Elephas maximus indicus: one gene and its partners. The protein of the gene in region 2 purifies or fractionates together with the protein of the main gene of each other region. This does not show direct contact. Links are inferred from orthologs where the notes say so. Each region holds a gene or a part of one and is shown on either strand. Other genes may lie near its edges.

The links.
Region 1: the proteins of TNFRSF1A (region 2) and BIRC3 purify together in Homo sapiens (affinity purification with western blotting; 4 studies listed by BioGRID, with this or other methods). This does not show direct contact. The link is inferred for Elephas maximus indicus from reciprocal best matches to the Homo sapiens genes TNFRSF1A and BIRC3.
Region 3: the proteins of TNFRSF1A (region 2) and CHUK purify together in Homo sapiens (affinity purification with western blotting; 3 studies listed by BioGRID, with this or other methods). This does not show direct contact. The link is inferred for Elephas maximus indicus from reciprocal best matches to the Homo sapiens genes TNFRSF1A and CHUK.
Region 4: the proteins of TNFRSF1A (region 2) and CYLD purify together in Homo sapiens (affinity purification with western blotting; 4 studies listed by BioGRID, with this or other methods). This does not show direct contact. The link is inferred for Elephas maximus indicus from reciprocal best matches to the Homo sapiens genes TNFRSF1A and CYLD.

Annotation. Positions count from the first base shown.
Region 1 is NC_064825.1:18,277,189-18,284,598, forward strand, and holds the start of BIRC3 (baculoviral IAP repeat-containing protein 3), read right to left. Parts: upstream 3,011-7,410; 5' UTR 2,881-3,010; intron 1-2,880. UniProt on the Homo sapiens protein: Multi-functional protein which regulates not only caspases and apoptosis, but also modulates inflammatory signaling and immunity, mitogenic kinase signaling and cell proliferation, as well as cell invasion and metastasis.
Region 2 is NC_064822.1:63,140,805-63,148,815, forward strand, and holds the start of TNFRSF1A (tumor necrosis factor receptor superfamily member 1A), read right to left. Parts: upstream 3,010-8,011; 5' UTR 2,764-3,009; coding exon 2,725-2,763; intron 1-2,724.
Region 3 is NC_064834.1:51,889,284-51,896,817, reverse strand, and holds the start of CHUK (inhibitor of nuclear factor kappa-B kinase subunit alpha), read left to right. Parts: upstream 1-4,531; 5' UTR 4,532-4,597; coding exon 4,598-4,702; intron 4,703-7,534. Other genes in the region: CWF19L1 (CWF19-like protein 1), read left to right, coding at 906-1,050.
Region 4 is NC_064839.1:17,266,165-17,273,626, reverse strand, and holds the start of CYLD (ubiquitin carboxyl-terminal hydrolase CYLD), read right to left. Parts: upstream 3,005-7,462; 5' UTR 2,947-3,004; intron 2,940-2,946; exon of another isoform or gene 2,855-2,939; intron 2,841-2,854; exon of another isoform or gene 2,320-2,840; 5' UTR 2,248-2,319; intron 1-2,247. UniProt on the Homo sapiens protein: Deubiquitinase that specifically cleaves 'Lys-63'- and linear 'Met-1'-linked polyubiquitin chains and is involved in NF-kappa-B activation and TNF-alpha-induced necroptosis.

The DNA of each region.
Region 1 (7,410 bases), on a different chromosome or scaffold from region 2:
CTAGCACTATTGTTTTTCTTTAAGTAGAATTAAGAGGAAAACGAAAAGTCTAGGAGGAGTAGTAAAAATGAACAGAGGACCAAGAGAAGGATGTTTTGGGGAAAAAAATGAGAATCACATTTCTTTGTTGAAATGAAGAATGGTTAAAAATATAAACAAAGTGTGCTTTTGTCTGCTTATTTTTATCACCTGCCTGGCCTCTGAATGCATTTGAGTTCGCAAACCCCCTACACAGATGTTACCCTAAAGAAGCTTTGGAATGCAAATTAAACATATTTATAGAAAGTTAGGCAATAAATATATGATAACTATATAAAAATATGCCAAATACCAATCCTGGATCAATTCAACCTTCTGTCTTAACCATTTCTAACATGCAGGCTTCCGAATGCTGCCGGAGAAGACCCTCGGCCCTGCAGATTGGAGCCAGTGCCACTTCAGACTCCACCTTGGCTGGCCCTTCAGGACCCCTTAGCAGTTCTTCTCAGCCCTCGTCAGCTCCCTAGCCCGTGGCTCTATGCAACGCTTCTAAACCTCCCACACCTTTCTCAAACTTCCCACTACTCCCCATCTCACTTTCAGTCAATTGCTTTTGCCTCCTATTTCTCACAGAAAATAGACGTCATTGCGCAGTAATCCTCTCATGTTCCCATATCCGTGACTTTCTTGCTCACAACCTACTTGCTGTCTCAGTTAAAGGCACTTGCCCCTTTTGGGGATCCCATCCTATCCCACTGCCTCAGAAGTCTTACTCCTAACCCTATCGCCCCTCATTTTTTTAATGTATCTACTGAATCTTTTCCTTCAACATGAATCTTTTCCTTCAACATAACAATCATGCTTAAGTCTGTCTCAGCTTAAAATGAAAACTAACAAAATCCTCTTTCAATCCCACTTTACACTCTAGCCACTACTCTTTTTTTTACCTTCCCTTCATAGCCAAGCAAACTTCTACTGATTATTGTTAATATCTCCACTTTTTCCCCTCCCATTTACTCCTTAAACCACTACAACTGGCTTTAGTCAGCACCACTTGAAACTGCTCTCTGTACTAATGATTCCCACCGTTTCTCTGCCAAAAGCAATGGAAATTTTCGCATCTGACACTGGGACTCACACCCTCTTTGAAATGCTCTCCTCCCTTGGCTTCTCTGAATTCTTCCACTATTAGAATTCCTCTTTCCTTTCTAGTACAGTCACTATGAGTCAAAATTGACTCCACTGCAACAGATTTTTTTTTTTTTTCCTCAAATTGACTCAGGTCTCCAGCTTCTTCTCTTCTTACTCTAATATTTGTGGTGGGTTGTTGGGCATCCTCACCCTCGTGGGCACTCGGCATATCCATCGCTCTCACAGAATATCTATATCTCTGACACTGGAGAGTAAATGTGCCTTTTTTTTTCTGCCTCCTCCTAGGCTGTGAGAGCTTTCAGAGCAGGAAGTATGTTATATCTCTACTGCCCCCCAGCATCCACAGGGCCTGGCCTATAATGTATGTAGCTATTAAAGACTGTTTGTTGAAGTGAATGTAAGCAAACTTGATTGAGCCCTGTATGACTACAGTACCCTCATTTGCAGGGTATTAAGGACTTCAATGTTACATTAATGACCACAAAATTTGTTGAGTCTGGTTTAACATCAGGCTTTGGAGTCAGACATCTTGGGTTTCCAATGCCATTCTGTGCCCCCTTACTAAGGGTAGAGCTTTAAACAGGTAAACCTATATAAGCCTTGTTTCCTTACTGTCACTTGGAGATAACCGTGGTACCTGCTCCTAAGTCCGTGCGAACTAAACGCAAAAAATACTCATAAAAGTTTCCGGAACTTGCCCTAGCGCGTAATACTGTCGTTGTTAGGTACCGTGGAGTCGCTTCCAACTCACAGCAACCCTATAGGACAGAGCAGAGCTCCCCCATAGGGTTTCCAAGGAGAGGCTGGTGGATTTCAACTGCCCACCTTTTGGTTAGCAGCCGAGCTCTTAACCACTGCACCACCAGGGCTCCTATAGTACTGTTAGCAACACTTAACGTTAGCAATAAATTTTAGCTAACAAAGGTAATGTTATTGTTAGTTACTTAAAAAAAAACATCAGTTAAATACCTTCGGCAATTTAACAGATCTAAGAGCGCTGCTGGGTTTCCATGCTGATAACCAGGAAACCCGCCAAAAAAAACCCCCCTGGTCTTTCTGCGACCACTTGGGAAACATTCCTCTATTTGTTCATTGAATATTTGATTGAGTCCTTCCCGTGCCAAAGATCTGCTTGAGGCTCTGTCCCGAAGCTTATTTGTCACCTCAAAGACCCGGTGATACCTCTTGATAATCGAATTAAGCCAAATGCCAAAGCTTCACCATTCCACTGGCTCACCCCAAAAGTAGAGCTGGCACTGAGCTCCCGAGAGGTAAGCGGATCGGGGGTACGATTCGGCTAGGGCAGCGCAGGGACCAGCTCGCACCGGCCCCGGGACCCTGCAGCCGGGCGCCTCCCCGAGGCGGAAAGCGCAGAGTCGCGGCGTCTGCGGATGGGACCGGCCGGAAGAGCGCGCGGGGCACGCCCAGGAAGAGGCTCCCGGGCTGGCGGGGACCCGCTCTGAAAGCTCTGTTATCTGAAAGCCCTTCTGGGTTCGGGAGCTGATCTGGGGCCGGCCTCTCGGGCCTGGGCAGTGTTTGATGAGCATGCCACCCCACTGACCTTCGCCCTCTGCAGCTGCCTGCAGCCCCCGGGGGAGCAGCAGGCCCGGCCGGGCGCCGCGCAACCCGCCCTCCCCTGGCGCCGCGGCTTCGGTCTCTGGGTCCTACCCGCGCCGGGTGGGAGTGGGGCCTGCACGCGTGCTCACACGCGCGCACACTCACGGCCGCCCGGGTCGCGTCGCCACCAACCTGCTCTCCCGAGGTGGACGCGCTCCAGCACCGACGTTGCTAGTCTGCTTCGGTGACACCTGCCGCCGGGGCGGTTCCGCGCGGGTTGGAGCCTTGCGCTCTTTTAAATACCCCGACTTTTGTCCCTCCTCCTCACTGGTTTGCATGTAAACTGGTGCTTTCCTCTTAGGACTTAGGGGAACTCCGGCGGTAATAACCACATATAGTTCCCTTAATCAGTAGCCTGGCAAACCCGGTCGGGGATTTCCATGGCCCTAAAAGCGTCACTGTTTCTTAACTAGTGGCACATCCGCGTGGCATTTACTGAAAAAACCTTTGCTTCATTGCTCTTGGGTCAGAGGAAACCCTGATAAGCGGAGTAGAGATGATCATTGGTCAGCCTAACTGGAAAAGGTCAGTCCTCACCGCTACCCCTTCAAGCCCCAAACACTTTACATGTAAAAAGCGTTAGGTTTTCCAGTATTTAAAAGAAAACTGAAACTTTGTGAAATCTTTATGATTATTTTTACTTTTGTTCTGTCCCAGAAAGTTCTGTCCCAGGGCAGACTTGGCTATTTTTCAGAAATCCTCCTTTTAGCCTTTTTGTTTCACAAAAGAAGTCTCTTAATTTCAGTGACATTTTCGTGTAAACCCAGAAGTCTGGGAGTCTAACTGCACTGCCACCGTTGCATCAACTTCGCCTGTCTAAGCAGTATATTTAGCTATGTCAGGGAACAGAGGGATTGCTCGTCTGGTTTCTCTGGCTTCTGGGAGAGTCTGTAGATCCAATAGGCCCTGTAGACCAAAGACAGTTATGAGCCAAAGGTACAACCCACATACGTTATTCAGGACTTCATCATCCTCGGAAATCAGAAGGGCTCACAGTCCGCTCAGTACAGAATCCAGCTGGACTGAGGTACCTTCTGGATTAGGAAACTGCTCAGAGCAGCTAGAGTTCGAGTTGGAATTATATCTGAAAGACTGTTTATCTATCGTGGAAATTTCAACCTACTTTTGAGCCTACGTAGTTCAAGACTTTTTAAAGCATTTTCAATTCACCCTTAACATTATCTAAAACATTTTGTGGTCTTCACACATTTTTAATCATATACTCAGCAAAAGAATTTTTAAAAACTCTATATTCCCTCACACATTTTTAACTTAACACCTTTTTTTAATATATTGTCATAGTTGCAAAGGATCTGCAAAATGTAAACACATTTTAGAATAAAATTGAAACAGCACCTTTTTAAATGTATTTAACTACCAGATGCCATGAAGTAGATTCCGACTCAGGGACACCTCATGTTTGTCAGAGTAGAACTGTATTCCGTAGGGTTTTCTTTCCTTTCTTTTTTAAAATAATATTTTATGGTGTTTTTGCTGAAAGTGTACACAGCAAATTAGGTTCCCATTTACCAATTTCTACACAAGTTGTTCAGTGACATTAGTTATATTTTTCACAATGTGTCATCATCCTCTTTACTTGCAGTCTGGTTGTACTGTTACCAATATTCTAGTTTCCCTGCCCCCTTATTGTCTCATCTTTGCTTTAGAGTAATTGTTGACTTTCTGGTTTTATATAGATGTTTTTTTTTTTATTGAAGCACCATACTCACAGATAATATCCTTCATTTTGTGTGCCAATCTGTTATTTCACTAATCCATAGGGTTTTCAATGGCTTATTTTTGGGAAGTAGATCGCCAGGTGCTTCTGTGTGGACTCAAACTGCTGACCTGTCAGTTAGTGGCTGAACATGTTAACCGTTTACACCACTCAGGAACTCCTTTAAATGTATTTCATGGATTCTAAATACCACAACCATTTGGCACCAACTGTCATCCATTAAAAGGTAATAAATCAGCTCTTCTTTAAAAATTAGAAATATTCTATCACAAAAAAAATTTTTTTTATCACAGTTTTTTGAATATTTCACTTTTCCCCCAGAATTTTAATATATGTTTATGGTGGGCATCTTTTATAATCACACTGTCACTTATCTCTGAAACAAATATCTATATAAATTGAAGTTTAATTCTTCCCTTTCATCATAAGTACTTAAAAAATTTATTTTGCATCATCACTGATATTTTTAGTACTTTTAGTACACAATTGTTTAAAGCAATATAAATATATTACAAATTTGGTAATTGTTAAAAATAAGTAAAACTTTATCACAAATTCGATTTTAATGGGTGGGTTGCAGCTTACATTTTAAGCAATTTGTTCAAGTGTGTATTGATGAATATTACCTATTGCTAGAATATGACAGAATCCAGCCTAGATTCTGTTCTTTATACATTTCTACAGATTATAATTGCTGAAAACCTTTTTCACATAAATAAGTAGGTAGGCCTGGAAGAAATGTTATAGCATTTTTTCACAATTCTTTGAACATCTGTTTTATCTTCCAAAAATCACTTAGTGATCATTTGTCAAAAATTATGGTTAGTTATCAGTGGACAACTCAGTTTTGTTGAAATTGGTGACTTGGAAACCATTGAACGTTTGTTAGCTAGACAAGGTTGTCGGATTTAGCAAATTTAAATACAGAACACCCAGTTAAATTTAAATTTGAGATAAACAACAACATTTTAATATGTGTGTTTCATGCAATAATTGCAATGTAGTTACACTAGAGATTTTTCATTGATTATCTGAAATTAAAATTTAACTGGTGTACTGTGTATCTGGCAACCGTATACCCAAATATTAGAGTCATTCATTTTCTCAATACCAACACCAGTATTTCCAGTAGTCCAAGAGGTTTTTACACCCAGAGGCAAAATACCATTTTAAGACTCAGAATGGGTGACAGGTAAACCTGTCTTTTGTAAAAAGAAAGAAGCTCTACTGTGAAAGGAGAGGTGAGAAGAGAGAACAAGCTTGGCAACCTGGACAGTTCTTGTTTCCAGAAAAGTCGCTTTTAGTAAAAACTACATATGGAAATTGAGGATCAGTCTGTCAATTCCCTTAAAACTATCTGAGCTCCCACTTATGCACTGGAAAATCTTTGTAAGTGCCCAAGGATACAGTCAACCTAATTTAAAGACCACAGCCTAAGCAATCCCCAAACTGACTGTTGTGTGCTGACGAGTCGATTCTGACACATAGCGACCAAGAGTAGAACCACCCCATAAGGTTTTGTAGACTGTAATCTTTACGGAAGCTGAATGACAGGTCTTTTCTCCTACCGTTTAGTGGATTCAAACTGCCAACCTTTCGTTTAGCAGCTGAGCTCTTTAACCATTACGCCATAAGGGCTCCCTGATAAACTGACTAGGATTCCCAAATTCTTCAAACTGTTAATGATAGCTGGGATCAGATCTGTTGGGGGTGGAACAGATCAACATGTGTTCTTTGCAACATTTTGCACAACTGTAATTACTGATTTTAAATAATTGTTTTCTTGGATAAATTCTGAGTACTGTCTGGACATGGACTGTGTATATTTTGTTTACCACATTAGTCTAGTGCTAGTAGGGTGCCTGTCTATAGGGTACTCAATGGAGCCTGTCTTTCCTCTTGGGCCCTCCCTATTCTAAACCTGCATCCAAATTTTTAATAGTGTAACATACTGTACATTTTCCCTCGATTCCTTTGTATAAACCAAATATTTCATATAAAAATTCCTTTTCCTTCTAGCATTTAACTTACCTAAATATATTTTCTCTTCAAATACCGTTTTATAGATAGAAATAAGCAAGGAATTTGGAGGGCGGTAAAACAGTACACAATACTAGGGAAGCCAGCACAACTTGGACAAGGCAAGGTCATGGAAGCCCCATAGACACATCCAAACTCCCTGAGGGATCAAATTACTGGGCTGAAGGCTGTGGGTCCATGGTCTCAGGGAACATCTAGCTCAATTGACATAATATAGTTTATAAAGAAAATGTTCTACATCCTACTTTGGTGAGTAGTGTCTGGGATCTTAAAAGCCTGTGAGTGGCCATCCAAGATGCTCCACTGGTCTCACCCCTCCAGGAGCAAGGGAGGATGAAGAAAACTAAAGACACGAGGGAAAGATTAGTCCAAAGGACTAATGGATTGCAACTACCACAGCCTCTACCAGCCTGAGTCCAGTTCAACTAGATGGTGCTTGGTTACCACCATGGACTGCTCTGACAGGAATTACAATGGAGGGTCCCAGACAGAGCTGGAGAAAAATGTAGAACAAAATTATAACTCACACCCTGAGAGTATGGCCCACGGACACTCTTATAGCTCAGTAATGAAGTCACTCCTGAGGCTCACCCTTCAGCCAAAGATTAGACAGGCCCATAAAACAAAGCAAGACTAAAGGAGCACACCAGCCCAGGGGCAAGGACGAGAAGGCAGGAGAGGACAGGAAAGCTGGTAATAGGGAACCCAAGTTCGAGAAGGGAGAGTATTGAGGTGTCGTGGGGTTGTTAATGTCATAAAACAATATATATACTAACTGTTTAATGAGAAGCTAGTTCTGTAAACCTTCATCTAAAGTACAATTAAAAAAAAAAAGAAGGAAGGGAAAGTTTGAGGAAAGTGACAAGGTAGACACGTATGGCCAC
Region 2 (8,011 bases):
TGCAAAGCTCATAGCCAGCCTAAAGCGGCCTTACATACCTCCCTTCGTTCCCCACCCCTTCCAGCTCCAAGCTGGGCTCCTTTCCAGTAACAGTCCTACCCTGGCCTGGGCTGGATCAGCCTCAGCCCCCAGGCACTTTCCTTTATCTGTTCAGTCTAACTTTACCCTCTGTTTTCCAGACACAGATGTTCACTGAGTAATTACCAATAATACTAATAATATAAAAGCTAACGTTAAAAAAAAAAGAAGAGCTAAAGTTTATTGAGTGCTTTCTATTTTCTACACCCTAGTGGGCATTTTTTTTTTTAGTGGGCATTAGGGTCGATATGAGTTGGAATCAACTCGACAGCAACAGGTTTCATTTGGTCTTAGTGGGCGCTGGAAGCCCTGGTGACAGTGGTTAAAGAGCTCGGCTGCTAACCAAAAGGTGACCGGTTAAAACCTACCAGCTACTCTACGGGAGAAAGATGTGGCAGCCTTGGAAATCCTGTGGGGCAGATTACTCTGTCCTGTGGGGTCACTATGAGTCAGAATTGACTCAGTGGTAATGGGTTTGGTTTTCTGGTTTAGTGGACTTTGGTGGTCCAGCGGTAGAATTCTCACCTTCCATGTGGAAGACCTGGGTTTGATTTCCAGCCAATGTACCTCATCTGCAGCCAGCACCCCAACTCACAGCAATCAACTAGATGGCAGCTACAAAAACAACAGTCCTCTACTAAACTCCATGAGGGCAGAAATTCTGTTCACTGCTGTAACCCCAGCGCCTAAAACAGTGCCTAATGAAGACTGACAACAACCAGTTGTCAATTCCAACTCATGGAAGCCCCACATGTATCGGAGTAGAACTGTCCTTCATAAGGTTTTCAATGGCTGGTTTTTCAGAAGTAAATCACCAGGCCTTCCTTCTGAAGTGCCTCTGGGTGAACTCAAACCTCCAGTTGGCAGCCCAGCACATTAAGCGCTTGTACCACCCAGGCACTTAATAAATCAATGAGTACTTAACATACATTATTCCATTTAATCTTGAAAACAACGTTGTGAGGTAATGACTATTATGTCCATTTTACAGACAAACAAACTAAGAGGTTAAGTAACTTGCTCAGCTATTACATGGTACAGCCAGGATTCAAACCCAGGTGATCCACCCCAAAGAGAGAACAGAAGATGTCAGGGCTGTAAACTGGGGGAAGATCATGGAGGCAGGACACCCATGAAAGAAAGGAAGAGAAGATGGGAGTAGGGAGACAGGAGGTGAGCGAATGAGAAGAACAGTGAGACCATGATAGAGAGAGGTGCTTGGGGTACCCAGGGTCTAGAAACATGGCACTAGAGCAGAGAAGTGGGGCAGCAAGAAAGAATAAGAGAAAAAAAGGTCTCAAAAAGGAGACTCTGAGAAGGGGAGAGTGATAGAAAAGGGAGGAATGATTGGGAGAGAGAGTATAAGATGCCAACGACAGGGGAGATGGTGGGAGCAAGAGGTGGGCCAGGGAAGGGCAGGGGCCCAGGAGAAAGAGAAGACCTGGTCAGCACAGGCAGGGATAATCTATCCAACTAGATGGGGAATCTGGGGGCTCAGGGCATTTGGAAAAGATGAGTCAAGGACAAGGAGCGAAGATCAAGGATACACTGAAACAAGGTGGAGGGAAGAGAAAGGGACATTTTCCAGTGACCAGTGACGAAAACAACTTTCTACCAACTTCCGCAAACTGAGCTGAAAAAGGAGAAACCAAAGGATTGTTGTTTAGTTCTACAGGGAGGGGGCTGGGAGGACAGGGGCAGGGATACTGGGTGGAGGTGGTACTAGTTACTTGTGGGGAGGTGGAGGTGTTATTCCAACAGAGGCTACCCTGCCTGGGAGCTGAGCCACAGGCAGAAGGGCCACAAATGCCCCAAGTGGGAGGCCTGGGAGGGCACTGGGGCGCTCTCTACTTAGATGTCCTTCCCCCTTACAGTTTCCCACTCGACTCCCAAAGACTCCCCCACTATGTAGCCTCCCAAACCTACCCCACAATTCACCCTCTCCTGGACTCAGCTTCCCGGCTTCACTAGCCATCCAACTCCAGCCCTCTAACAGGGTTTGCTCAACCAGGTTCCATAGGCAGCCTCCCTCGCCATAGCCTAACACAGGCCCGGCTAGCCAGCTAACCAAACCAAAAACCTAACCCATTGCGTTCCGGTGGATTTCTACTAACAGCGACCCTGTAAGATAGAGTAGAACTGCCCCACAGGGTTTCCAAGGCTGTAAATCTTTAGGAAGCTGACTGCCCTCCCGCTAAGAGGCTGTTGTATTCAAACCGCCAACCTTTCGGTTCGCAGTCGAGCGCTTTAACCACTGCGACACCAGGGCTCCTTGCCAACTGACCAGAGGGACAGAATCCTGAATCTTCTGGACTGAGAGGACGGGTCTTCCTTCTCCCACTCTGTCCTTCCCCCGCCAAATCTACTGCATCCTTGGCCTATCACCTGCCGCACATTCCCGGACGCCCCCTGGCCCCACCAAACTTCCTTGGCTATCAGGGGCCAGGGCTCCCTTTTACTCTTTCCCTTTCAAACTTCTCCATTTCCCTCAAATAATCGGCCTTGTCGGCTCCCTCTCTGCACTGGCATAAGAATGGGGAAACGTGAACCGTGTTTGGGTTGAGCAGGCCCGAGGCTGGGGCCAGCCGGGATCTCGCCCCCTTCTGCCCCGCCCCAGCCCACTCCATTCTGGATCCCTGGTCTCACCAATGGCGGCAGCAGGCCAGGGACGGTGGGGAGGCCCATGTCCGGCCAGGGTGGCCTCTCACTCCCCCATCAGGGCTCAGGGCAGTGGCGGCGGTCTCCTGGGGTCCGCGGGGTCCCGAGTTCCCTGGTGGAGCCTAGGCCTTGGGGCGCGGGACTTCGAAAGTTGAGGCGCGAGTAGAGATCCCGTCCTCGTCCAGGGACCTCGGACTCCGAAGGCCTGAGTCGGAAGAGCTCCGAGAAAACTAGAAAGGAGAGAAGAGGTGGGAGGGGACGGGAGTGTGGCTGTGTTGCAACATCCGCGGGACAGGAAGAGCCAAGGGAGGAGGCGGGGGAGGGGGGGGTTAAAGGTTCTTAACCGTTTGTAGTCCAGTCAGAGAGCTTGGAGTTCCAGATCCAGTCGCCTTGTGCCCCCAGCCCGCCAGTTTTACACTCCCAGCTGGTCACCAAGGTGCAGTAAGCTCCCTCCCTCCCCACCCCCAGCTGGCCTTCCCTAAATGGAACAGCAACGGAAAGACCCGGGCTTTGGAGTCAAATTCAATGGGTTCCAGTACAGAATTCTCCACTTCCCCCCGCCCCCATAGCTACATAACTATAGTTTAAACTTTTTTTTTTTTAATATTTTTATTTTGGTGAAAGTATACAAAGCCAAAGATACACTATTTCAACAATTTTTACATGTACAACTCAGTGATATTGTTTATATTCTTCCAGATTGGTCACTTTTTAGCTCTGTGGTCTTGGAACATAACCTAACCTCTCTGAGCCTGTTTCCCAACTAGTAAAATGGAGATAACCTCTCTCATAGGGTCGCTGTAAGGATTTATTAAGAAAGGACAAAAAAAGTACCTGACACTTGGTAAGTGCTCAGAGTTCCTTAGGAACCCTCCCCTTTTACCCAGAATTCCCCCTGACACCTTCCCACTTGCTCAGGAATTAACCCCTCCAACACAAACCTCAGAGTAAGTCCTACCTCTAGGTTTATGGTCTGCCTGGGGCCCTGACGCCCCCATTCTGGCCAGGTCCCCAACTGCTGGTCCTGGCTCTGCCACCAGCCAAAAGTGTGACCTCAGGCAGGACCTCCACTGAGCCTCATCTCCTCCTCATTTATTAAATGGGGTAACAATGGCTGGCCTATCTGAGGATTAATGAGACTAAAACTGCAAACAGAGTAACGGAAAATGGGCTAGGGCACTGAAACAAAGCCATTCCCCAGAAAAATGGGGCAGGGTATCAGAAAATAGCCTGTAAACTTCTTTAAAGCTATTTTTCAGAAGCAGCTGGAGAAAACCAGCCCCAACGACATGTGACATGCGCAGAACATCCACCTGTGACTGCTGTGTGACCTTCCACCAAGAGCAGTGAGGGCTGCAGCAGCAGCTTAGGAATCGAACCCAGGGAGCGAGAGACTGCACAGGTGCAGCGCGACACCCCATAGTAAGTCGTGGTACGAATCCCGGGACACCCCATAGTAAGTCCTGCTACGAATCCCGCAACACCCCATAGTAAGTCCTGCTATGAATCCCAGAGGCCTTTGGGACAGGAGCCATCTTAGACACCTTAGAAAGCTGTTGCTTGCATAGTTAACATATCCCCGCCTGTGCCTATGAATAAACATGAATCTCCCGCACCCCAAGAATTTTTAAAAACCCAGGCCAGTCTTTTGTTCTGTGAGACAGGCAGGCGTAAGTGTTGCTCTAGGCCCTCCTCATCTCCGCTTGCAAGCCTCTTTAATAAAGCTTTGCTCCTGTGGAAAACTTTACGTGCCTTACCTGCTCATTCTTGACCAGTGAGAGGCAAGAATCTTATTCCAGTAACAAGACCACATCCAAGAAAAAGCTTTGGAAATTACAGATATCTTTATAAGGTCCTTGGGTAGCACAAACAGTTTGCACTCATCTGCTAATCTAAAGGTTGGCAATTTGAACCTACCCAGTGGTGCTGCAGAAGAAAGGCCTGGTGATCTGCTCCTGTAAAGATTACAGCCAAGAAAAGCCTATGGGGCAGTTTTACTCTGTCACATGGTGTCACTATGAGTCAAAATTGACTTGATGGCAACAGATTCGGGTTTTGTTTTTTTGGCTTCAATGAACAGAAGTTCATTCTCTCCCAGCCCAGTAGGCTAGAAGTCCAAATTCAGGGGATCAGCTCCAGGGGAAGGTTTTCTTTTCTGTCGGCTTTGGAGGAAGGTCCTTGTTATCAATCTTCCCGGGTCAAGGAGCTTCTCACCACAGGGACCCCGGGTCCAAAAGACACACTATTCTCCTGGCTCTTGCTTCTTGGTGGAATGAGGTCCCCCTGTAACTCTGCCTGCTTCTCTCTTTTACATCTCCAAAGAGATTGGCTTAAGACACAGTCTAACTTTGTAGACTCAGTCCTGCCTTATTAACATAACTGCCATTAATCCCTTCTCGTTAACATCATAGAGAGAGGATTTACAACACACAGGAAAATCACATCAGATGACAAAATGGTGGACAATCATACACTACTGGGAATCATGACCTAGCTAAATTGATACATATATTTTTGGGGGACACAATTCAATCCATGACAACCTTTTAAGTTACTCTGAAATTAAGTTTTGTAGTATTACTTTAAAAAGGACTCTTGAATCAGATAACTCATTTCCAATACTAATTCCAGTATTTGTTAGCTATATGACTTTGGGCTAGCTACTTAATTCTCTAAAAGGGAGCTAATCGTATCTACCTCACAGGGTTCAAAGACCAAAAGGGCATTAGATTCTTTTTTTTTTTTTTTATTGTACTTTACATGAATGTTTACAGAAAAAACTAGCTTCTCATTAAACGTTAGTACACATATCGTTTTGTGACATTGGTTACCAACCTCATGACATGTCAACACTCTCCCTCTTGACCTTGGGTTCCCTATTACCAACTTTCCTGTCCCCTCCTGCCTTCTAGTCCTTGTCCCTGGGCTGGTGTGCCCCTGGTGATGCAATGGTTAAGCAAGTCTTGGTGGTGCAATGGTTAAGCGCTGGGCTGGTAATCGAAAGGTCAGTTTTTCAAACCCACCAGCCGGTCATCGATCTTCTGGAAAAAGATGAGGCAGTCTACTTCCATAAAGATTACAGCCTAGGAAACCCTATAGGGCAATTCTACTCTGTCATATAGGTCGCTATGAGTCAGAATTGACTCAACGGCACACAATAACAACAACAATGCCCAAACCAACCAAACCAAACCCACTGCCATCAAACAATGCCCAGCCCAGGCCAAAGGTTCTCCAGCTGTTGAAGCTGCCAGACATGAAGGGAGACCAGAGAGGACTGAGGTCCTAGGGCTTTGTGACTTGGAATCAGAGCTCCTAGCCTCTTCACCCTTTGATCTACCAGCTGACCACCTACCCGCGTCCGCTTTCCCTGGCTCTCCCTTTCCTCCCCTCTGTGATCCCAGGGATCTACTTGACAATGGAGCTTGGGTGCTCCCTACCACTGGGGGGAGCCATCTTCACTTCACCCCACCCTCCTGCTTTTGAAGACTTGAGGGTTGAAGCTGGACTCACAGGGGAAAGAGCTCACCTTTCCACCAACACACAGGGAGGACCACAGTACAGTTTGAGTGGACCGGAAGCAGAGCTCTTGAAGAAACAGGGTCATTAGAATAAAGTGCTAGAGTCAGATTGCCCAGTTTCCAATGTGAAGAAGAGAGGAGAGCCTCAGGATCCTCATCTAAAAAATGAGAATCATGCCAGTACCCCTTGCAGAGCTGGTTTCATGATTAAATGAATATAAAGTGTTTAGCAGTGTTGGCCATGTAGTAAGCATTCGATAAATGATAACAATATTAATACTTTGTAATAATAATTAATAACATCAGTGTCCTTTTTTAATATCACAAAGGATTTTTAATTGTGCAAACTGGCAAGGCCATTACACATAGCCTGGCACAAATAGAGAATTTCTTTCATTGTTTAGGAGAAATGTTATTGCACTTCTGTTTTAAAAAAAAAAAAGATGGTGAGAGGTGGGTGGAACTAGGAATATGAAAACCTAACTGGTTTCATGGAGGAGGTAAAAATGAAAGACCCTACTTCCTCTAGGGAAGAAGAAATAATGGTGAAGGAGAGAGAGAGAAATAGGAAAGGAACAGAGGATGACAGAATTGACTGTTAAGGTTTGTGGAGGGGTAATTATGGCACACAACAATAACAACAACAAAGGGATGAAGAGAAAACTTCAGATAGCAGAGAACCTCCCCCACCTCATCTTCCCCATATCACACACATACACACTTCACTCACAGCAACACCTAGTGATCAAAAGGGCATTTCCAAGTCCAGGTCATGTGGGTTCTAGCCTCAACCTTGCCATTCCGATTCTATGACAGGAATGCAGGATGGGTCATAGGAGGAGACCTGGTTTCCAGGCTTTGTAAGAATCATCTATAAAAACTTTGGTGAGTTACTTCACCTATTAAGCCCCAGATGGAAAATGAGGCAGTTGAACTGGGCCAACTTAAACCCTTTCTTGTCTAATGCTGGGATTCTAACTCTTAACCCTAGGGTCCAAGGGTAGCCCGTAGATGAGGGACGGAGATAAGAGAACATCTCAGGGTGGAAATGAAGGTAGGTAAGGAGAAACGCAAGCATCAGGGGAGGAGAAATGGTAGCTGTTTGCAGGCCATAAGAGATCCAGCATTATCCAGCAGGTTCTGTCCATCCCAGCAAAGGATGGGGAGCTGGGAAGAGGGCGGGGGTAGGGGTGGGGCAAGGCTGAAAGGCTGTGGCAGACAGCAGTGGAAGGCAGGCTGACCCTGAGGGCTCTAGCAGAAGAGACTGTTGTGACGCTACCATATCTCCCCTCATCAGCTTGAATCTGGGAAAGGGAAGTCAGAAGTTGTCACATCAGTTCCTGGTCATGACCCTGTCTACCTCCCTACTCCCTTCTCCCCTCCCCAAAGATGCACTCTCTCCTTTGGCTCCTCAGGGCAGAGAAACTGTAATTAAGGGGAATATGATCAAGACAGCAGGGGAGGTGTCCCCAAAGATAATAAGGAATGGTGACTTCTGGGTCCCAGGACTAATGCTGGTGTCGGGGTGGGGAATTGGGGGTCAGAAAACCAGAGTTCCCATACAGACATCTCTTAGCCTCTCCCTGAACCTCAATTTCTCCTGTTAATAAAGCTGGGAGGATTCCCTCTGCTCCTCCCTCTGTAATGACATGAGAACAAGAATATATACAGGTTTTGAGGTTCCAGAAGAAATTGGGCTAAGTCTCACCCTCCTCCACCAGTACCTGGAAATTGATGGGGAGATAGAGAAGTGA
Region 3 (7,534 bases), on a different chromosome or scaffold from region 2:
GAGGATTTGTGTGATTTGAATTCAACCCTTCTATTTATCATAGCTTCAAAGTGGAATATGGACCATATGATATGCAAACAGTTATTTCTAATATATCAAAAATAAGTAAAAATAAAGATAAAAAAGCAATGGCAATTAGAAGAAAGTTTGTACGTAGTGACATTTTATATGTGTGTCTGTGTGTGGTTATTTTTTAGTCCTGAGGGCCAAGATAAGTTGTTTTGTTGAGAGTGAATTTATGCTGCTGTGCCTGTCTAGACCTGAATCCTTAGAAGGAGAGGCAGAGGAATTTCAAGTCAGAGTGGGTATGACACTTGAGTGTCTGACTGCACCAGGCCCTTGGCAAACTCCTGATCTAGTTGGGATGTCAAAACTAGAGTTTAAGGCAGGATGTAAGTACAACTATTGTGGTGCTCTGTGTTAGCTCCCCATTTCGCAAAGCCTTGTAAGGTAGGTGGTAGTAGGTGTTCTCATTTCGTGGATGAGGAAATCAAGACTCACAGCTGAAAGTCATTTGTTCAAGTCATAGACAGCATGTGGCTAAGCTAGGAATGGAATTTATCTGCGGTCTGACTCCAGGGCCTGCCTTCTTTCTACTGTGCCATATTGCTTCTCTAAGTACCAATTCCATAGTTCCAAGTTTGTTCAAGAAAAGAAGTTAATGGGGTACAAGCTATTAGGAAAGAGGTAGGACCTGAGCTGGTCACTTAAAATGGGTATGATTTTAGTAGACAGATGGCAGCAGTGGCGCTCAGAGCAGGAGAATGGTATGAGCAAAGTCAGAGAAATTTGCATACCTTCTTTGGGTGATGCTGAGGAGAGCTCTCTGGCTGGTGAAGAACAGAGGGAGGAGGGATTTTGGGGCTGATACTGTCCATTTTGACTTCTTTGTGTCCTTTCTGCAGGGAGGTCCTGGCCAGTGAAGCCATTCTTAATATTCCTGACAAGTCCGATTGGAGGCAGTGTCAGATCAGCAGAGAAGAGGAAGAGACCCTAGCCCGCCGCTTCCGGAAAGACTTTGAGCCCTTTGACTTCACTCTGGATGACTAACTAAAGGGAAAGACACTTTACGAACTTCACAGGTTCATCCACCTGTTTTTAAAGAAACTGCAGTTTCCTATGAGGACTGTTTCCCTGCCTCTCTTTCATGTATTCCCGTGGAACCTGCCCACAGCAAAAGGTCTAGGACTGAATAATTTTTGGAAGAAGTCACATTCTAGGATGAAAGTCCTATGTTAAAAGCATGTCTGTCATCCAGCTCCAAGTACCAGCTTGTGTTTATCAACATTTTAAAAAACATGTAGACTATCAAATAAAATCCAAAGGCTTTTCTATGGTTGAGAAGTGTCTTGTGTTCATGTTACCTGTGATCCTTGAAATGATGTAGTGCATGTAATAGGAGGGGCCAGGGTTTTAGGCCCAGTGTTTCATCCCAGAATCACCCAGGGTGGCTTCTCCCTGAGCAACCTAGTTTTGAGAAGGGACCCAAGGCCTTTGCCACTTTTCTTTTATAGCAGTCATCTTACTGATGCATAAAAGCTCATTCAGTCCTTCAGCAAATATTTAACTCCTATGTGCTAGGCACTTTTCTAGGCTCTGGGAGTATAGTTATGTCCTAACATGGTCCCTGTTGTCCCATAGTTTACAGTCTAATTGGGAAGAGAAGGGACAGATTTAAGAAAAAAAGATGATTTCTGCTTTGGATATGTTGAGTTTTAGATGCCAAAGATTTGTAACGGATGCATCCTGGGTGCTGCTGGAGAGTTCTAAACTCATGGAGATTTAGGTTGGTGATAGGGATTTGGGTATCATCAGGATATAGGCAGTACATTAAATAAAAAGGATGGATGAAAATAAGAGTTAAAGCTCTAAGCTGAGGATGACTACCTGAGAAGTATTACTATTTAAGGAGTACTTGGAGTGATCCAACAAGTACATGGAGAAGAAGCAAAGAGAGAGATCTCAGGAGACTGTCAAAAAAATTCCTCCTATATATTGGGCATGTGTGGCCCAGAGGAGAAATATGTGGCAGTTGAAACACTATGGGGGCAGTTCTACTCTGTCCTATAGGGTCGCCATGAGTCGGAATAGGCTGAATGGCAACAGGTTTATGGCCCAGACACTGGATTTCACTTAGTCCTTACAAAATCTCTACGAGGTGGGTATCACCACTTCCATTTTACACCTGATGAAGCTGAGACTCACAAACTTGATTGTGGAGTCTGGGGCCTACCAGCCTGGGATTTAAAAAAATGAGCTATGCCGTATCCCTAAGAATGAGTACTTTTTTTTTTTTTAATTGTGGAAACTTATAGCTCAAGTTAATTTCTCGTACAAAAACGTATACACATATTGTTTTGTGACATTACTTGCAATCCCCACAATGTGACAGTACACTTCCCCTTTCTACCCTAGGTTCCCTGGGTCCATTCAACCAGTTCCTGTCCTTTTCTGCCTTCTCATCCTGCCTCTGGACAGAAGCTGCCCATTTGGTCTCGTGTATCTCATTGAATTACTCTTCACTTGTATTATTTTTTCTTTTATATTCCTGTCTAATCTTTGAAAGGTGGGCTTTGGCAATGGTTTCAGTCCTGGGTTAACAATGTCTGGGGGCCATAATTTTAGGGCTTCCTCCAGTCTCTGTCGGACCATTAAATCTGGTCTTTTTATGGGAATTTGAATTTTGCTCAACACTTTTCTCCCACTCCATCCAGGACTCTCTTGTGTTCCTGGTTAGGGCAGTCATTGGTGGTCTCAGGCTGGTGAAGACTCTGGTTTATGTGGTCCTTTAGTCTCTTGGGCTAATGTTTTCCTCGCGTCTCTGGCTTCATTCTCCTTTGCTCCAAGTACCCAGTAGGATGGGACCAATTGATGCATCTTAGATCATCGTTTCCAAGCTTTTAAGACCCCAGACACCACTCACCAAAGTGGGATGCAGAACATTTTCTTAATAAACTTTGTTATGCCAGTTTACCTAGATGTCCCCCAGAACTATGGTCCCCAGGCTCCAGCCCCAGCTAGTCTGTCCCTCGAGGTGTTTCGATATGTCCAGGAAATTTCTTAGCTTTTGCTTTGGTCCAGTTGTGCTGACTTTCCCTTCACTGAACTTATTCTGGTCTACTATCTAGTAAGTGAATTCCCCTTCTCCTCCCTCTCCACCCTTGTAACCATCAAAGAATGCTTTCTACTTCGTTTAAAGCTTGAGTTCTTATAATAGTGGTCTCATACAATATTTGACCTTTTGTGACTGACTAATTTCACTCAACATAATGCCCTCCAGATTTGTCCATGTTGCGAGATGTTTAGAGGATTCATCATTGTTCTTTATCGTTGTGTAGTATTCCATTGTGGGTATGTACCATAATTTGTTTATCCATTCATCTGATGATGGGCACCTAGGTTGTTTCCATCATTTTGCTATTGTGAATAATGCTGGAATGAACATGGTGTGCATGTGTCTATTTGTGTGAGGGTGCTTATTTCTCTAGGATATATTCCTAGGTGTGGGGTTGCTGGATTGTACGGTATTTCTATTTCAAGGAAGCACCAAATTGTTTTCCAAAGTGATCGTACCATTTTACATTTCCAGCAGTGCATAAGTGTATCAACCTCTACACAACCTCTCCAGCATTTATTATTTTGTGTTTTTTGGATTACTGCCAGTCTTGTTGGGGTGAGATGGTATCTCATTGTAGTTTTGATTTGCATTTCTCTTGGCTAATGATCACCAGCATTTCCTCATGTGTCTGTTAGTTGCCTGAATGTCGTCTTTGGTGAAGTGTCTGTTCATATCCTTTGCCCATTTTTAAATTGGATTATCTGTGTTTTGGTTGTTCACATGTTGCAGCATCTTACAGATTTTAGAGATTAGATCCTTATTGGATATGTCGTAGCCACATTTTTTTCCCTCTAACTGTAGTTCCCCCCCCCTTTGGTGACATCTTTTGACAAGTGTGTTTGATTTTTAGGAGCTCCCAGTTATCTAGTTTCTCTTCTGGTATTTGTGCATTGTTAGTTGTGTTTTGTATACTATTTATGCCACATATTAGGACTCCAGAATGGGGACGTTTAAGGAGCAAACCAGTGACCCTCTTAGCGCAGAAGTCTTCCTAGTTCTTGAGATTCCCTAACATTTAAATCATCAGTGGCCTTTGCCAGTGCCAGTTCAGCGGGTGACAGGGTTGGAGTATACACGGCTGGGGTGTGGGGAAGGAAGTGTATACAGAGATGCAGACAATCTTAAATTTGAAAAAAAAAAAAAAAAAACGAATACAGGACAGATTAGAAAGTGATTTGAACGGAATGTAAGATCTGGAGAGATCTTATATTTTTCAATATTAGGAAAAAAACACGTGGGCTCTCTCAGCCAGTAACAGACCCATGAAACTTCCAAAGCAGACGACGAACACCCTCCACGCCTCCCAACCCTTTCGCCCGCGGCGTTTTAGAGAGCGCTGGACAACGTGGGCGGGGCTTTTCCTCGGGCAGTTACCGGAAATGACACATATCTCGCGAGAAGAAAGGCGCGCGAGCCTCGGCGTCCCGGAACCGGCCTTGGAACAGCGGCGGTGTATAAGGCAGCTTCCCCTCCCGCCCCATGGAGGGGCCCCCGGGCCTGCGGCCGGGCGCGGGCGGGCCCTGGGAGATGCGGGAACGGCTGGGCACCGGCGGCTTCGGGAACGTCTGCCTGTATCAGCATCGGGTGAGCCCGGACGCGCGAGGGAGCGGTGACTGTTTGTCAAAGCGTCTGTGGAATATTAGGGACTGTCAGTGTGTGAGAGATTGTCAGTGAGAATTGGAGGCAGTGTTTGTGGGCCAGTGGGTATGTGTGTGTGTGTGATATTGTACTTGTGAACTTGGGTGACTGAATCTGAGGTTATATCCGTAGGAACGTGTGATACTGGTCCTGGGCCAGCGTGTGAGATAGAACTATTAGGGGGAACTTTTGGTATGAGTGGCAAGGTGTGACAAGCTGTTTAGTGAGTGTGACAGTGCCTTTATGTGTCTCTTTGTGAGTGTACAATGTTAGGGTGTGTGAGGCAGATGAATGTCAGAACGTGTACGTGTGAGCAGGAATGGGTGAGAAAATGGGGCTACAGGGGGGCTGTCTGTTGGAATGTGCGTGTTCGTGTTTGTGACTGGAGGCCTGTGAGTGTGATATCTGTAGGGACCGGAGTAGACAAGGAAGGCGTCATGGAGGGTCTGGAGTTAGGCCTTCGAAAGCATGGGTTGGCTTTGGAGGTGAGGATGCATTTCAGGTAGGAAATAGTGTGAGGACGAGCTGGTGAAAACGATCAGTGGCTTCACAGGGAAGGAGATAAGATTGTAGGTGGGGGGCAGCTAACATCAGACTCAGGAATTTTATTATGATTTAATTGAGAATGTTTAACCATTGTGGCAGCAGTTAATAATCATGTTCAAGTCATGCATCTTCTGAGATTCAAATAAAGCCATGAATCTTTTCTTCCAAAAATGCACATCCACACAACCTTAGGCCTAGCCATTTGAGGGGGTTCACAGTCTCCTGACACACATTTACAGACCTTATAGGTGTACAGAACCTGAAATAATAATCCCTGCAGTATAGCCTTAGTTTTGCCATCTATAAAATGGGTGTAATAATGTATATACTTCATGGATCCACTTGAGAGTTAAATAAGATAATGTATGTAAAACTACAATGCCTGGCCCATGGTAAACCTTCAGATGTTAGCTGCCAACATGTGTTCTTTTTGCTGTTATCATCCTCATCATCAGTCTTTGGGCTTAAAAAAGGAAATGTTAAGATAAAAGTGGTGTTCTAGGAAGATTATTTTGTGAAAGATGAATTTGAGTTGAAAACTTATGGGCAAGATTGGCACTTAAGCTATTACTAAAATGCCAGCAGTTGGTCTGTGAATGAAGAAGTGAAATCAAATGAAGAAATCCTGATTTGCTGTTTAATGAACATGGCTGTGGGTAGCCCATATTGTGAGGTGGGAGTGAAGAGAGATGGGAGCCTGTCTAAGAGGGAATAGTCATGTTTGTGGGGCAGTTAAAATGTCAAATGTTACTGGTAGAACTGAAGAAATTTTGCAAAGCAGGTTTCTGTTGTTAGGTGCTGTTGAGTCGTTCTGACTCATAGCGACCCTGTGTACAACAGAATGAAACACTGCCCAGTCCTGTGCCACCCTCACAATTGTTATTCTTGAACCCATTGTTTCAGCCACTGTCTCAATCCACCTCATTGAAAGCCTCCTCTTTTTTGCTGATCCTGTACTTTACCAAGCATAATGTCCTTCTTCAGGGACTGGACCCTCCTGATAACATGTCCAAAGTACCTGAGACAAAGTCGTGCTATCCTTGCTTCGAAGGAGCACTCTGGCTTTATTTCTTCAAAGACAGACTTGTTAGGTTCCTCTGGCAATCCGTGGTATACTCCGTATTCTTCATCAGCACCATTGTTCATAGGCGTCAGTTCTTCTTCAATTTTCCGTATTCATTGTCCAGCTTTTGCATGCATATGAGGTGATTGAAAATACATGGCTTGGGTCAGGCATAACTTAGTCCTAAAAGTGGCATTTTGCTTTTAAACACTTTAAAGAGATCTTTTGCAGCCAATTTGCCCAATACAATGTGTCTTTTGATTTCTTGACTGCTGCTTCCATGGACGTTGATTATAATTCCAAGTAAAATGAAATCCTTGACATTGTTAATGTTTTCCCTGTTTATCATCATGTTGCTTATTGGTCCATGTGTGAAGATTTTTGTTTTCTTTATATTGAGGTGCAGTCCATACTGAGGATTGTAGTTTTTGATCTTCATCAATAAATGCTTCAAGTCTTTTTCACTTCCAGCAAACAAGGTTGTGTCATCTGCATATCAGAGGTTGCTGATGAGTCTACACTTCTAATGCCCCATTCTTCTTCATACAGTCCAGCTTCTCGGATTATTTACTCAGCATACAGGTTGAATATAGTGAAAGGATGCAACCCTGTTGCACACTTTTCCTGACTTTTAAACTATGAAGTATTGCCTTGTTCTGTTTGAATAACTGCCTCTTGGTCTACATACAGGTTCCACATGAGCACAATTAAGTGTTCTAGAATTACCATTCTTCGCAGTGTTATTCATAATTTGTTATGATCTGCACAATGGAATGCCTTTGCATAGTCAATGAAACACAGGTAAACATCTTTCTGGTATTCTCTGCTTTCAGCCAAAATCCATCTGACATCAGCAGTAATATTGTTTCATGTCCTCTTCTCAGTGCAGCTTTAATCCTGGCAGTTCCCTGTCAATGTACTGTTGCAACCGTTTTTTAATTATCGTCAGCAAAATTTTACTTGCATGTAATATTAATGATATTGTTCTATAACTTCTGTGTTCTGTTGGATCACCTTTCTTTGGAATGGGCACAAATATGGATCTCTTCCAGTCAGTTGGCCAGGTAGCTGTCTTCCAAATTTCTTGGCATAGATGAGTGAGCTTCCTTCCATCTTCTTTTGATGCTGCATTGTTTAATATTTTTTTCCTGTAGAATCCTTCGGTATTG
Region 4 (7,462 bases), on a different chromosome or scaffold from region 2:
TTCATGCTGAGTATAAGTATTTCACAAATGACTCATCTAAATACCACACTACTAACTGCAGGTTGGAAAATTTGAGTGACTGAGAGTATCCTGATAATTCCTGTAAGTACTGAATGAAGAATGCCAAACAGCTGAAATACAATAATGCACTGAACCCTAACACCATATTGGCAACACTCCAGATGAGGGAACAGGTCGGGATCACATGGATTTGAAAATATACCTGGCTATCTGAGCTGGTTGTTGGTCTGGATTCTGAGTAAAGGGGAATTTGGCTGTATTAAAATTAAATAATTAAATTGGAAGGTGCATATATTTGTCAGTTTCCCATCAATGAAGTGGAAAGAAGGCAGTCGAGAAACAAGTTTTATAAGAAAATATTAAACATCAGAATTACCAAGTTCGAAAGACAACAGATTGTACAAACAAACAGCATTAGCTAAGTAAGTCACAATTATTTAACTGATCTAGAAAATGTTACCTGGATTCTTGTTAACAGGTTATACCTTACTAAAGAACTCTTTACATCTCCTGAGATAACCTGACTTGTTCTCAAAACCACAGAAGGCTAGAATAAAAATGACCACACTAAAATACTGCCCCTAATTATAAACAGCAAAGTAGCAGAAAGGTCAGTGTGACTATCAAAGAAAGACACACGGGCCTTTTTCCAAACTCTTCTAGACAGCTAGAATGATGACCATTTTCAGAAAGAATATCTCTCACTAAAAGAACAAGTTGTACTCCTAAACAGCTAAAGAACAGGCATAGAGAGGCTATGACCAAAAGAGATTTAGTCAGTTTTAATGTCCTTGTGACCCAAGTAAGCCAGGATACAGTTCCTTAAGTATTCTGCGCGTGAAAACAACTGGGATTTATAATGTAAAACAAAACAAACACAAAAAGATTTGGCTCCTGTGTTTGTATATTCATGTTAGAGAAACCGTGAACAACACTATCCCACTACAGTGGGCCCCAGCCACCATACTCCCAAACTCTGAGTTCCCCCAAGTCCTTTATCCTTCTATTCCAGTGTTCAGTGACTTGACATATATGGTAGTTCATGAGAACTAAATGAATGACTTGGCAAAACTCAAGTGGTACCAGTGAGAGCCCAAATCCCATATCCTCATCCTAATTGTTTATGTGATTAAAAGCTTCTGCCAGCTTAAAAAAAAAAAAAAAGAGGGAGTTGGGAGCATCTAGGGTTTTTTGCCTAAAATGTCACTAAGTCTCTGAATAAATAAAGTCCTGGTCAATTTTTATACCACTTTATTTATACAAAAAAAAGAAACAAATAAGGAAAATTCCACAATGATGAAAACAAGCTGTTGTGTGGTTCCTTTGAAACCGTGTATGATGCCTATAAATTCTGCATCACCAATGTAAAAGCTCCCAACAAATTTAAGAACACAGGGTGACAATTAGGAACAAAATACTAATAGCTTGATGAGTAGGACAATCATCCCATTCTCTTTTTGTGTTAAAGCTTTTCTTAAATCAAAACCAGAATTTTGGGCATGCCAAACCACAGAAATCATTGCTGCCTCACGTCTGTTGTTTTCAATAACAAGTGCCTTGGCCTTATCAGCTCTTCACACAAATTACCACCCAAAGGAAGGCAGCTTCTATGCAAGATCACTCCCAAATTTTGCTGCAGAACATTAAAGAATGTTCTGGGTGTTACCAACATGCATAGTGCATGAATTCCAACAAGAATTTCCAGCAAATTCTTTTCTCCTGTTTTTTTAATACTGTTCTAGTTCAAATCCACCCACCACTCAGTGGGGACTAGCAGGTGAAATTCTTAGGGCCATGAAGATGACTGGGGGGGTGGGGGCAGAAAACCAACCCCTGAATAAACAAACACCCTCTCTCAAGGCCTGGCTTTTTCTCTGGGAGTCAATGATTGGAAAATGAACAACCGTCTTAAGTTTCCTCATTAGTCCACATTCAAAACCAAGGTAGGGAAGGCTGGGGAGAGGATGGGGGCAGGGAATCTGGGGGTGGGAGACGGAAAGGCCACAGGCTTGCCGGCTGGACGGTGACAACCATCCTAAAACACGGGTATGTCAAGGGGTTGACTAGAAAAGACTCCAAGTACGCGAATAACCTGGCAGCTGACCCCGCTGAGCACCAAACTCGAAATCAACAGCTTCCTTCAAAATTTCACGATGTCCCCACAGACTGTTAATATGATAATAAAGAAAAAAAAAAAAAAAGACGGGGGGGAAAAAAAAGGAATACCTTGTCTCAACACAGCGCACCTTTCAACTAAAGAACTCCGGGCAGTTGTATAAAACCATCCTCACCCCGAAACTGAAAGAAAAAGCAGAACACGCCATTAACGAGGCCAAAACCCCAACCGCTCTTCCTAGAAAGAAGCCGCGAACACCCCAAAGCCGATTGATAAGCCCCACGGCACAGACGTGAGTTATTACAGCCCGGGGCTCTTGATGCCAACTATAGCAGTGGGGACCCAGCCAGCGGCCGGTGCCTCAGTTTCCCCATCTCTAAATGGGGTCGAAGCCAGAGACTGCGTTCCGCGCCCCTTCCACCTCCGAGTCCTCTCCTCTCGGGAGGTCCAGCGGCGGCCACCACGCTGCCATGACCCAGGAGGCCTCCCGGGAAGGCCCGGAGCGGGGAGCCCCGGGCTGGGGGGGGAGTCCGGGCTGACGTCAGCGGGCTCAGCACCCCGCGGGCCCGGCCGACTCGGGGCCGGGGCAAGTAACAGGTCGGCGCAGAGGGCCGGACGGCCCCCGCCGCGGCTCGAGACGCCCGGAGCCTGGGGAGGAGCACCGAGGGGATCCGGCCGCCGCTGCTCGCCGGCTCGGCCGCCCGCTCCCTCGCTCACCTCGGGCAGCGGGGCGTCGCCCCTTCTCCGGCCTCCCTAGCCCACATCCCGGGCCGGCCCGGGAACCCGACACCCACCGCCCTAGTATTTACCTCCGACGCGCAGCCCCCGCGCAGCCGAACCTGCTACCTGGGCCCGCCCCCACCTGCCCCGCCTCCGAGCCGCCCAGGGTGAAGGGAGGGCGCGGAGGCGGAGGGGCAACCGTCCCGTTAACCAATCGTGGCCTGTGATGCGCCCCTGCGCATGCCCTGATTGGCCTGCCTTGTGACAGACCTTCCCCCAATGGCTGCCGGCCGGGCGCGGGCTGAAGGGACTTTCCGCTCCGCCAAGCTCGGTCGAGCCAAAGGGAAAGCTGAGGGGAGGGGAGGAGATGAGGGAGATGGGGGCGGGGAGCTCTGTCTGATTGGACTAAAGGCAGTGAGTGCCGCGCCACCATTGGCTGATACTGGAGTCGGGGCGGGGCACCGTGCTTTTCCTCGCTCCACCTCCCATACTCAGGTATAGGCTTTTGGCTAAGCTGTCAAAACTCCTATAACCGCTGGGAGTTTGGGTCCGGGTGGGGAGCACTCCAGAAGAGAGCTGGAAATAGGATTCCAGGATTCCATGAAAGAGCAAAGCTTTAGGATCAGACCTCAGTTTGAATCTTCTGCGCTTTCAATTATTAGCCGTGTGACTTGGGGAAACTGATGACCTTGCTGAGCCCCAATTTCATCTATAAAATGGAGATAACAGTAACTTTTGTTTCATAGGATTGTTGTGAAATACCGTCTGTAGAGTTCCTGACACGCAGCAGGAGCTCAGTAAATGTTAAAGCTTCATATTCGGCATGGGACCTCTGATGCTTCTGAACCTCTATTAGCACCTAGCCCGCTCTAGGGGAAGTCTCTGTAAAGTGGTGAAGACGGAACTTCTGTATGCTTCCTCACTCAGCCCTGCACCCCTGGCCACCAGCCAGGACTTTGGGTATAGTTAAGAATCTTTGAATTAGAAGAGAGGTTTCTGGTTCCCAAAAGTGCTCAAAATATTTAACGAAGTGCTTTTTATAATCCATCCCAGGGTGCTGCGGTGTGCCTTGCTGCACTTTACGGTTAATTAATTCCTTCTCCTTTGACATTTTAACGCCAATTACGGGAGAAGATGATTAATACTGAGGAAGGAGGAGGAGGTGCCGTGCGTGTGAGTGTGCGTGTGTATATGTAATCATGACATGATTTTCCCCAGTGGAAAGTGACACGCTTCTGTAGGTTGGGGGAATTTAAACCTATGAGTACATGAAAGAAGTCACATGAACAATTACTAACAGCAGTAGTAAGCAGGCCACTCCTCTCCCTTGCCATCATCACCTAGAATGAAATGAGCATCTTTTTTTTGAAAACGTAATCCTCGGATCCACTTCTGGCCTCTTCAGTCCATCCTTACCCTGTTTCCCAGTCTTCATGACCACACTGCAGTAGAAAGCAGGAAATGGGAACCCACAGGCCTGGCTTACAGTGTAGCCCGAGGCAGCACTGTTCCCTCTAGATCTAGACTTCCAAAAACAACAGGTAGAACTCAGAGGTCACAATCTGGCCAGAAGCGAAATTTAGCCTGAAGACTATTTTTCTTGACCCATGCAGTGAGGGAGAGGAGGGAAGGGGGCAAGAGGAGTGGGAAAAAGAAATTTCGAGTGCTTTTAGACAGGTTACTGAGTGGTGCAAACAGTTTGTGCAAGGCTACTAACTGAAAGATTAGAGGTTCAAAACCACCCAGAGGTGCTGCAAAAGAAAGGCCTGGCAATCTACTTCTGTAAAGATTACACCAAGAAAACGCTATGGAGCTCCGTTCTACTCTGTAACACGTGAGGTTGCCATGAGTTAGGATCAATTTGACAGCAATAGGTTTGATTTGGTTTTGGTTACCCAGGGCCAGTGCTCTCATTTTCTCCAGCTTGCCACACTCCCCACCATTCCCTAATTCATCAGTCTGGCCCACTTCTTGCCTTACATTATCTGCTGGCCCCTAAAGGTATTTGAGTTTGCCATCCCTGGACTGGAGCATCTTTGTGTCCTTTCTGATGATGATGTTTGATGTTGCTGAGCCCTGTGCTCCAGAGGGCTTTCTTCCCCAACAGCAATGGTTGGCTACTATGCTCATTCTTGTCACTTGTTCACTGAGCCAGTGAGAGAGCCTGACTTCATCGAGATCTTCACCCAAGCCAGACCTGATAAACAGGGTGTCGGAGTAGCAGAACTGTGCTCCGTAGGGTTTTCGATGCCTGTGACCTTTCAGAAGCAGATCACCAGCTCCTATCAATTGGGAATGCTTGCCTAGAACACTGTGTTAAAAGCAATCCTGAATCCTTATTCAGGCTTATGGGAGAGAGAGATTGTCTGCCGGGGATGAGATGGCAGAATAGTGTCTTGGTACTATGATTTACAGTCCTCGATAAGCCAGCCTCTCATTCTATAGATAAGAGACTAAAGTCAAGAGGGAGAAAATCATTTGCGCCCAGGTCCCCAGGAAATGAGCTGAGACCTTGATTCTTCTGAATCCAAGCCAGGGCTTTTTCCACCTCTATTTCGGTGGATTCTCCATCTGAAAGGCCCATACTCTCTGCCTTCCAAATCCTTCCTTCATTTAAGGCTCCCAGCCAAAGGCCGGCCTCTTCCAGGTGTCTCTGCAGATGGATCCAGCCTCCAGAGTTCACCTCTGTCTATCCGGCACCCCATAGCCTGTTCTAACCAGCCTAGCCCTGGGTTCACGTGGCCTGTGGGTGAGTTACTGAGCAGGTACTGGGAGCCACAGCAGTGTATAAGAGAGATGCTATCCCTGCCCTCTGGTCAGGAAGGCAAATCTTCAACAACGTATTACACGATCATGTACTTAATTATGGTTATGGCAAGCCTCAGGAGGAAAACTGCTCTGAGCACTTGTAAAGGGTGGTTGGGCATTCAGGGAAGGCCTGTTTGAGGAAGTCACCTTTAAGAAGAGGTGGGAGAGATGACAGGAAGTTAGGGGTGAGGGGGAATGCTCCAGGCAGCAGGAACAGGAAAGAGAGTGACGTTTAAAAGAACTGAAAGAGGCGGAGTGCAGAAAGTGTGGGCGCAGAAGGGCCATTCACACAGAGCCTTGTGAACCAGGGCAAGAGCCCCAGATCAAGGAGAACCCCTGGATGTGTTTTAAGCAGGGCTGTTGTTAGCTGCCATCAAGTCAGACCTAACTCGTGGTGACCTGTATACAACATACTGTGTCCGGCATGGCCAGTTGTACCTCAGACCGTTGGGATCCACACATTTTTCATTGGCTGATTTTCTGAAGTAGATCACTAGGTCTTTCTTCCTAGTCTGTCTAGTCTAGAAGCTCCAGTGAAACCTGTTCAGGATCATAGTAACATGCAAGCCTTCACTCACAGACGGCTGGTGGCTGCACATGAGGTGTATCAGACAGGAATCAAACCTGGGTCTCCTGCATGGAAGGTGAGAATTCTACCACTAAACGATCACTGCTTTCTTAAACAGGGTAGTTAACTGTGATTCTGAACGGTCTTGCATAGTTCTTTTATTGTACACAGCAGGAACCCCATGATAAGCTATTGAATTGTGTGAAGCTCTCTCTCCCAGGAGGTGGTAAACTCCTGGTTGCCTGGTAGGGCCCTACTACCTTATATAGAGTAACACTTATGACTCAATAAAACCTTCTCAGTAGCACTAGTCATGATTGTTGATTAGATCCTGCCCCACACTTCCCAAATGGCTACCAGAGGCTTCCACCTCATACTTACAGCCTCACCAAGTTCAGCGTTTACTTTATATCCTACTGCCTACTCAACACCTCCACTCAACAAAGCCAAAAGTGAGCTCCTGTACCGTCCTCCTGCCATTTGGTAGGTAGCTCCAGTTGCTCATCCAGTCTCTGTGGTTCCTGCCATTTTCCCACCTGGCTCTTCAGCCTTTCCCATCACTTCTGTGGACCTCCCAAAATCCTTCCAGTGAACTCCTTTTATGCTTGAGGAAGCCAGAGTCCATTTCTGTCACTTGCAACCATGAGAAAAGTCTAATTAATACATCTAAGTGTTCACGTAACTCAACCATGTACACAAGACTAAATGGGCACACTAGCCCGGGGGCAAGGATAAGAAGGCAGGAGGAGACAGGAAAACTGGACCAATGGAAATGGGGAACCCAAGGTCAAGAAGGGGGGAGTGTTGACACATTGCAGGGTTGGCAACCAATGTCACAAAACAATATCTGTATTAATTGTTCAATGAGAAACTAATTTGCTCTGTAAACCTTCATCTAAAGCACAATGAAAAATAAATTATATATATATAAACGTTGATTTCATGAACAATGTTGTTCAGGACAAGGTTGTTGCTGTTAGGTACCGTCAAGTCAGTTCCGACTCATAGCAACCCTACGTAAAATACAACAAACCACTGCCCAGTCCTGTGCCAACCTCACAATCAATGCTATGCTTGAGCCCGTTGCTGCAGCCACTGTGTCAATCCATCTTTTTAGCTGGCCCTTTACTCTACCAAACATGATGTCCTTCTCCAGGGAATGGTCCCTCCTGATAACATGTCCGAAGTACACGAGACAAAGACTCACTATCCTCACTTGCAGGGAGCAT